Drosophila melanogaster: one gene and its partner. The protein of the gene in region 2 interacts with the protein of the main gene of each other region in a pairwise test. Each region holds a gene or a part of one and is shown on either strand. Other genes may lie near its edges.

Region 1 (5,170 bases), 7.2 Mb from region 2:
GAGCGCGCTCCAGAGCTCCGTCCTTGTCGACTTTCATCGCTTGCATCTTCTTCTTGATGGCATCCATGTCTGTTTTGTTTTGCTACTCTGCACTCGAAAGAAACTGCAATTGGAAACGAAGATGGAGATGGAGATGAGATTGCGGCTAAAACCATGGTTAAGTGCAAGCCAATAAAGCAATTAGCAGATTTATGCGATAATCAGCAAGTGCAAGGGGAGTAGTATTCAAGTCCAAACATGGCTTGTGCGAAAGTGAAACTATATGGAAAATGCATTTGCATTTTATGATTAATTTAGCAATTTTATAACTTGTGTATTTACATGAGGATCCTGCAATCTGATTTCTGCACATATATGTATTTAAATTCATAACTTTAAAGCTCCCATCTTATCTGCATGTTATCAAAATAACTGGCAGATCTTTCTTCCATTTCAAGCTACACAGCGAGTTTTTTGCAATAATGGATAGCCATTTTTGGACGAAAGGTGGCAGAGTCAATAAATTATTCGGCCTGGCCAAAACCGAAACAACCAAGGCCCCCTTTTCGATGCCAGTCAGTCGCATTGTTCGAGCTTAGCCAACTGATAAATTGAGAATTTAATATTTCGACGGCGTCTCTTCACGACTTTTATTGTCCGATTCTTTCGCTGATGTTCTGAACTTTGAGAGTGTTTTCTCATCTCGTCACAGTAAATCATTTAAACGAGAATACCTAAAATTGAACCTTATTTTCTGGGATATACTTCGAAACACCGAAAGCAGGGTGTTTATTTATGCAGATCACATCGGATCGCGTGGTGTGGAGCCAAACGAAGCTGGACGAACTGGGTACATTCTCGAATAGAGAGTTCTGTCACCAGCCAAAATTGTGTCAGTAGATTCCAATCTGGGCCAAGAAATTGCTGCATAGATAAAGTCTTCTAAATCTTCGAAAGTAGAATGAGGATTTGAAATGATAGTAAGCTCATTTAATATATTTTTTTAACTAACATATATCATTGCATACTCTTAGGTGCCATATATGTTTACTCAAATCAATTTATATTTACAAATGTGCGCTTTATCTTGGAATTGCATTCTTATCAGTAAAGTGCAGATGCTGTAGCTACCATCCTCGAATTAAAAACCCAAGATGAATCACTCAGCTGCACTGGGCTATTGCCCCTTTTCTCGAGCAGCTCCAGACTTCTGACTCAATGTGAACGCAGCTGGTGGGTTTTTTGGCCCCTCCTTGGTGCCCATTGACACCCCCTTTGCCTTTCCTGGCCAACACGAAACCCACTTGACCAACATTTGTCATGGCTCGAACCGAGTGCAGCCGGCGGCTAATTGACTCGAATTTCGCCGCGTGAAATTTTAATTCTTTATTACGGCTCATCGCTGTCATTTGTTGTGTGGTTCTGCCTTAAACATGCATTTATTTTTAAAAACTCTGTTTACATTCCTGTGCCTGATCCGCCGAAGAGAAGTGGCATTGGAGAAAAAAGCGCCAATCGAATAAAGCCAAAGCCAAAAAAAAAAAACGTTGAATTTTAATGAAAACGCAATCGAGGCAAATTTTTTGTTCGCTTAAAAAACACACAGATATACATATATATATATATATAAATCTGCATGTGTATGGGCCATAAGTCGATTAAGGTGACACATTGAGTTATGTTTGCGTTGATTCAGCACAAAATTCCCATGACATCTTATAACTTTCGGCAATGACATATATATAATCGAAAAATGGGCCTACACCAAAGAGGTTTATGAGTATTAAGATCATCCTTATCAAGAAATGACGTTATCATTAGGAACAAAGTTAATATTTCAGGAAACAAAATGCGTATATGTATAACTCATTTTTTATATCTAACTAACTATGGCCAACTAACAAGCCATCCTTATGAACTGGCACCTCGCAATTCCTACTTTTCTGCCTAGTTTACAAGTTACAGATATTTTCCATCTGTATCCGACCTTATAAGATCTACCTTTCCACACAAAATTTACAAATTATCGCATGGAAAATTCGGAATTTAATCATACAGAATACAGAATTTTCTATTCTTAGAGTACGATATATACACACGTTGGTTCAAATGGGTCTAATGCATATAGATTCTTTAGCCAAATGCCTTGGGCGATACTCTAGCAGCTTTCCTGCTCTCTATTTCACTGTTTAGTATCTGTAGCACACACGGATTGTATCTAAAAATAGGACAGCCGAGGCATCTGTTGAATATCTAGCCTCTCCACGGATATTACTTAATACTAAGCTGAGAGGAAGGGAGCTTTCTGGGAAATTCTTGGCGCATTTCGCCTACGTTCGCTTCAGATTCATTTGGCAGCTAGGGCCAGCGGTCGTGGATCAGATTTCAAAGATACAAAACTGCAAAGTAAATGCGCGTGTTGCCCAGTTACTTGGAAAATAGGCTCAATGAATTCCTAAACATTTTGGATTAAAGAAAATTATAATTCAGGAAACCATTCCATAGCAAGGATAGCTATCTTGAAGTCTATCTCATTGATCTTTATCTTAAGAATGATTCCCTTACTTTCTCATATACAACATGACAATTTTAGTTTCTGAAAGGAGGAAAGAGAGCTCGATAATCCTCCTTTTGCCTTAATTCTTTACTTCTGCCGCTAAAATCTAAGATCGTTCGAAGTTCCCACTGACCATGTTTATATATCTCATGAAATACGTTTAGCTGAAACCCTATATAGCAACTTGCGGTTAGCAGACAAACTTGACAAGGTCCCCAGAATCGTTATTCTTAGTTTTTTTTTCGCGATCTGCAAAGGTGCTTAACCTCTATTTGGGTTTATTTCGATTCTAACTGGGAAAATTTTCAATTTTTTTCAATACTTGCGGATGATTAGGGTTGAGAATTGCACAGCACTTTGGTGGATTTTAAGTTAGATATTGCAGCAACGTTGTGGTTATGTAATTATACTTTTTGGTTCGATCCTTTTTTTTAAATAAGAATCGAATTCTAGCACAGTTAAAATTATTTTTGAAGCACTCGACAAGTATTTTTGTGGAAATATTCAGCGATATCTTTGTATTTTTTTTTGTATAATTTTTTACTGATCAACGATAACGTATTCCTTTTTACTTACAAAACTTTTATTCGGAGTTATCCGCGACTTGAACGGATTGTGATGTTCAACTGAAAATATTTATTCAATATGTTGACGTTCGATGCTCGCCGCTTGGTCGATTTCGAGCGGCTTGCGCTGGTGTGTGTGCGTGTGAGCCGCCGCGCTAGTGCGCCTGTGTGCGTGAGTATCTGTGTGCGAGAGTGCGCACTTTTCGGCCAAAAGCGAGCATATGTTGTTGCTGTCTGCGCCTACTTTGGAACTGCACTTGGCTCTCAATTTACCCCAAGAGCATCGGTAAATTGCTCGGCCGGGGTACAATAGCTTATACACTGCGCGAAATCAACAAAGGGGTGCATTTGTTCTTATTTATATACTCATATTTAATGTAATCATGCATGCTTTCTAATATCAGGACATTTAATATGCACTTTTGATTTAATGTATTTATAAATTTATGTCGCACTTATCATTTATCATCATTTACTCATGCTACTTTTGTTATTACAAATTTGAATTTTGAAATTCATTTATAAATTATATTAAATGTTTTTTTCATTCAGAAAATACTCCAAAGTGAAATGGGCTATGCCAGTTAAGAAAGCTGTACAACATTTCTTTACCCCTCAGCCCGTAATATATTTAATTTATGTTCCTATCCGATTTCTGCCAGTGTAACGGAAAGCATAAGATCAGAATTTCAAATACAGTTACAATTTATACACACACATTCAAGCCCGGCGCCTGCGCTCTCTCTCCGCTTTCTCTCTGCCTCTCTTTTCCGATCCTTTCCTTGGTGCTTTCACCTGTTCGCTGCACATGTATGGGTAATGCTCACTCATTTCGAATCGAATGCCTTTCTTTCAGCCTATTTTTGAATATTTCCCCGTATTTTGAAAAGCTCTTTTCACCCAGTGTTTTTGCCCATTGCAAAATATATCCAATACTTAGGCAATCGTGTCTCTTTTCCCGATGAGAGTGTATTGGTTTGGGGATCGTTTTGTTTTGCTTTTTGATGTTCTCAACTTCTATTTTTAATTTTCAGTTATTGATATGCCAAAAAATCTTGTTTCACGTAGTTATACGTACGTATTTCCCCCATAGGTCTACAGATTATTATTTTCTGCTCTATATATTAAAGCTCTTTCTATAGATTTTTCAACGTCATGTCTGCGAACGGAAAACATTTTGCTGGCAATCATAAATGTCACATATGAAAGTATACGTTTTTTTGTAACTGTCTCGCAAGAAAATGCATCCATGATTCATGCTTTTTTAAATTGCAAACGTGAAAACGGTTGAAATTCAGTTTCCCCATAATCGTTGAGTTTCCGATCTGGTGATATGCATATTTGCCCTTCTAGATTGCTTGCTTACTCGTTGATCACGCCCTTTTAATCTTATCGCCAACAAAATTGTTGGAGATCTTATATGTTCGAATGCAACTAAAGTCTTTAAATATAAACCTATAAATATAAGCCAATTTGATAGCCCCAACATATATACATATATGTATTTACTTATTCCATTTTTTGTTGTTCTCTTATCTTGGAGAACATTTGCCAGTCCGAGGTTGATGAAAATTTTAAAATTAACTCAAACAACACCCACAAAATGACGTAATTGTATTCATTAAAAACAAAAAGTTTTCGAAGCAAGAAAACTAGATCAATATATTTATAAAGACAAAGAAAAAAAAAAACAAAGAAGACATAGACATGGAAAAGACCCTTGAGAAAACGTCGAAAAACATTGTAAAATAGCAAAACAGTCTGAGCAACTTGCTAAATACGAAAACGAAATCATGGCCATCGAATCCGACCCGTTGACATGTGTTAGTTATGGAAAACCAAAGTTTTCATAATTCCAAAATATACGCGAATTAAATAAGTTCATGAGTGTGTAGCACTCAGCTTGGCTCAGACAAGTGCGCAATCTTGTTAGAAAAATCGCGACCATATTTGGCGAAAATAGTATGGAAAAGTTTAATCCGGGCTGAGGGGCATAGACGACTGGGTTTGGTTTACACGGGCAGAAATTGGCTTTATATAAAAAATATATTTTAGTTATTTGTGACGG
Region 2 (3,603 bases):
GCCACCCCAAGCGCACCCGCCAAGTCCGAGATGATCGACCTGACCAAGTTGAGTCCGGAACAGCTGATTCAGATCAAGCAGGAGTTCGAGCAGGTGCGTTCCGCATGTGGGTGTGTGATGAGTCAAGTGTGCTCGCGGAGGGGGTTTCTGGAGGAGGGGCGCCCCAATTGGCACATGCTTCTAAAATCGGTACATTTTTGTGATCCTTAGGAGATTACCAACGTACAGGACTCGCTGTCGACGCTTCACGGCTGTCAAGCCAAGTACGCCGGATCCAAGGAGGCGCTGGGAACCTTTCAACCCAATTGGGAGAACCGTCAGATCCTGGTGCCCCTGACCAGCAGTATGTATGTGCCAGGACGGGTCAAGGATCTCAACAGGTTCGTCATAGACATCGGCACCGGCTACTACATTGAAAAGGTGATTTACATTTCCAATCGAACCTAGAATATTTATTGATTGCCATCTGTTTCTCAAACAGGATCTGGAAGGCTCCAAAGACTACTTCAAGCGACGCGTGGAGTACGTGCAGGAGCAGATCGAGAAAATCGAAAAGATCCACCTGCAAAAGACGCGCTTCTATAACTCAGTGATGAGTGTGCTGGAGATGAAGCAGGCTGCTGCAGCGAAATTGCAGTCGCAGCAGCAATCGCAGCCGGCGGTTACCCAGAGCTCCTAGACTACGGAGAACGACAGAGACACGAGACACGGAAAGCATTAAATTATTAAACTTATTAACGAGATGTGTGCATTTAATTAACGTAGTTTATTAAATTGTTCAGCTATTTCTTGGCTTCTGCCAAAGCCTTGGTGAGAACCTTGACCTTCTGCTCGTACGCGGACTTAAGATCCTGTAGGGAAAGAAGGTAATAGTATATCAAGTATATCATTGGACTCGAGTTATAAGGCACCTTGAATATCTGTGACTGGGTGTCGTACTCCGAACGCAGCTTGTCATACACTCCTTTGGAGATGGCTAGTTTCTTCTCCGTGAGCACACACTTGTCTTGCTCCGCCTTGATCCACTGCTGGCTCTTCTCCAGACGAGCCTGCGTGTGATCACATTCGGCGGTCTTTAGCTGCAACATGTCCTTGGTCACCTGCAGCACATCCTTAATCGAGTCTACTTGTGTCCTAAGCACTGATATCTGCTGCTCCTGCTGTTTGTTCACCTTGGTCTTCTCGAACAGCAGGGTTTTGGCCTTTAGAAGCAGCTCCTCCTGCTCTTGTCGTGATTTGGGAGCATCTGTGCCGCCCAGCATGACGGACTGCTTGAGCGACTGCTCCAACTGGACCACTCTCCGCTTTAAACGCTCATTTTCCGCCTTGGCTTCCTGCAATCAGGGTCAGTAAGTGGGTGCAGCCCGTGGAGACGAGTAACTAACCTCAAAGTCTTTGCGGAGCGCTCCGATCCGTTTGCGAGACTCCTCTAGTAGTGCCTGTTTTTCGCTTTCCAACGTGAAAACCATGTCCAGCAGTTCGTTCTGCGGCTGCTCCGGCTGACGCACTTCCTCCTGCCCATTTGCTGTTATATTGTTGTTTAGGTCACCGCCAACAGCTTCATCTTCGTTATGATCGGCCATTTTATGAAGAATTCTTTTTAAATGATAAAAATTCGTAGAGCAATGTGCGTTTTCCGTGCTTTTTGGGATGTGTTTTCTTTTTGTATTAATAGACCAAATAGATGCACGCTCTATTTATAGGACATCCCACTCTCCGGATCGCTCTCTGCCTGCTCTTGGCCAGATCGCTCTCCCGAAATAACAAACTGTTTCCCTCCAATTTAGTTTACGCCTCAGCATATTCTGAAGATCAGTTTATTATACATTGAAGCATGGATGAGAAAGGATTGCGGATGTGCGGTGTTAATACAGATCGCGAAGGGCAACACAATTAAATTGTTGTTACAATCAATGGGGCGACAATTGAAAGTGAGTGATTTGATTAAAATTAAATGCCTAAACAAGATAGAAGAAATGTGCTTCGCTCGCGGTGAAGAATGTCTAACCGTCCAGCTCGCCGGCAGCGCATGCATCGGCGTAACTCTTGCCGCTCTTGTCCTCCGGATTCAGCTTGATCATGTCGTCAATACGCAAAATGGTAATGGCGGCCTCCGTGGCGAACTTCAGCGACTTGATCTTGGACATGGCGGGCTCCAAAACTCCAGCCTTCTTGTTGTCCCTTACCACTCCCTCGATCAGATCCAGACCGGTCCACTTAAGATCCGAACGCTCGGGCTTCGTCTGGCTGGAGTTGTGGTAGGAGCGGAGCTTGGCCACTAGATCAGTGGCATCCTTGGCCGCGTTCACGGACAGAGTCTTGGGAATGACCAGCAGCGACTTTGCGAATTCGGCAATGGCCAGCTGTTCGCGGGAAGCCAGCGAGGTGGCAAAGTTCTCCAGGTAGATCGACAAAGCAGCCTCCACACAGCCGCCGCCGGCTACAACCTTCTTGCTCTCCAGCACACGCTTCACCACGCACAGAGCGTCGTGGACGGAGCGCTCCATCTCATCACAGTAGAAGTCATTGGGACCACGCAAGATAATGGATGCGGCAGCACTAAAAAGGCATAGGGATACGATAAAGCAAACTATGTTACTGCATGATATAATCTGCACTTACCGTGCCTTAGTGCCCTTGATGAGGATAAGTTCATCATCGCAGATGCGCTCCTGGGCCACCTCTGCGGCCTCTCCCACCATTGAGGCATCGAAGCTCTCCTCACCGTCCATGTTGGTCAGCGAGGTAATAAAGGCGGCGCCGGTAGCCTTAGCAATGATCTTCAGATCGCTCTTCTTCACACGACGCACAGCCATGGCTCCAGCCTCAACGAAGTACTTCATGCACAAATCATCAACGCCGCCGCTAACCAGTACTACATTGACACCGGTTCCGAGGATCATGTTGATGCGCTCCTTGGTAATGTCCAGCTCACGGGCACGAATAGCCTCCAGCTTGTCGGGATCATTGATCAAGACCTGGACACCCATCTTCATCTTGGTCTTCTGCAGCGAGAAGTCTAGGCAGGCAATCTTGGCGTTCACAATCTTCTTGGGCATCTGCTGGGAGGCAATTGTGCAGTTCAAGGCATAGCCGGGAATCAGCACCGATTCCCTGGCAGACTTGCCATGGGCCTTCAGGACATTGATGGCTTTAATCGAATAGGCTGCCTGCCCACGGGGATCTGTGATTTTCACCGACTGGGCAGCGTCCACAACCATGGCTGAGAAGAACTCTGCGTCAGCACCAATGATCTTGGAGCTCATCGAGGTCTTGGCAATGTTAATCAGGGAATCGCGGCCCAGCTCATCAACGGGAGCGGTCAGATGCTCCGAGATGTACTTGCAGGCCTCCTTGCAGGCAATGCGGTAGCCGGAGATTATGGAGGTAGGATGAATCTTCTGCTTGACCAGCTCGTCGGCGTTTTTCAGCAGCTCAGCGGCCAGGATAACCACCGAGGTAGTGCCATCGCCGACCTCCTCGTCCTGCAGCTGAGCCAGCTCAACCAGGACCCTTAAAATTTAGAAATGAGTACTTCTTTGAAAGATTTCCCACATCAACAACTCACTTGGCTGCCGGGTGCTCCACCTCCAGCAGTCGCAG

The links.
Region 1: the proteins of CG5376 (region 2) and Tm1 interact in a two-hybrid assay, tested with the Drosophila melanogaster proteins (2 studies listed by BioGRID).

What each region holds. Positions count from the first base shown.
Region 1 is NT_033777.3:15,279,546-15,284,715, reverse strand, and holds the start of Tm1 (tropomyosin 1), read right to left. Parts: upstream 3,167-5,170; 5' UTR 3,113-3,166; exon of another isoform or gene 2,859-3,112; intron 104-2,858; 5' UTR 68-103; coding exon 1-67. UniProt on the Drosophila melanogaster protein: Tropomyosin, in association with the troponin complex, plays a central role in the calcium dependent regulation of muscle contraction.
Region 2 is NT_033777.3:22,487,300-22,490,902, forward strand, and holds CG5376 (uncharacterized protein), read right to left. Parts: upstream 1,657-3,603; 5' UTR 1,584-1,656; coding exon 1,386-1,583; intron 1,335-1,385; coding exon 912-1,334; intron 852-911; coding exon 783-851; 3' UTR 734-782; downstream 1-733. Other genes in the region: Pfdn5 (prefoldin 5), read left to right, coding at 1-93, 211-420, 482-679; CCT1 (chaperonin containing TCP1 subunit 1), read right to left, coding at 2,004-2,559, 2,623-3,513, 3,569-3,603.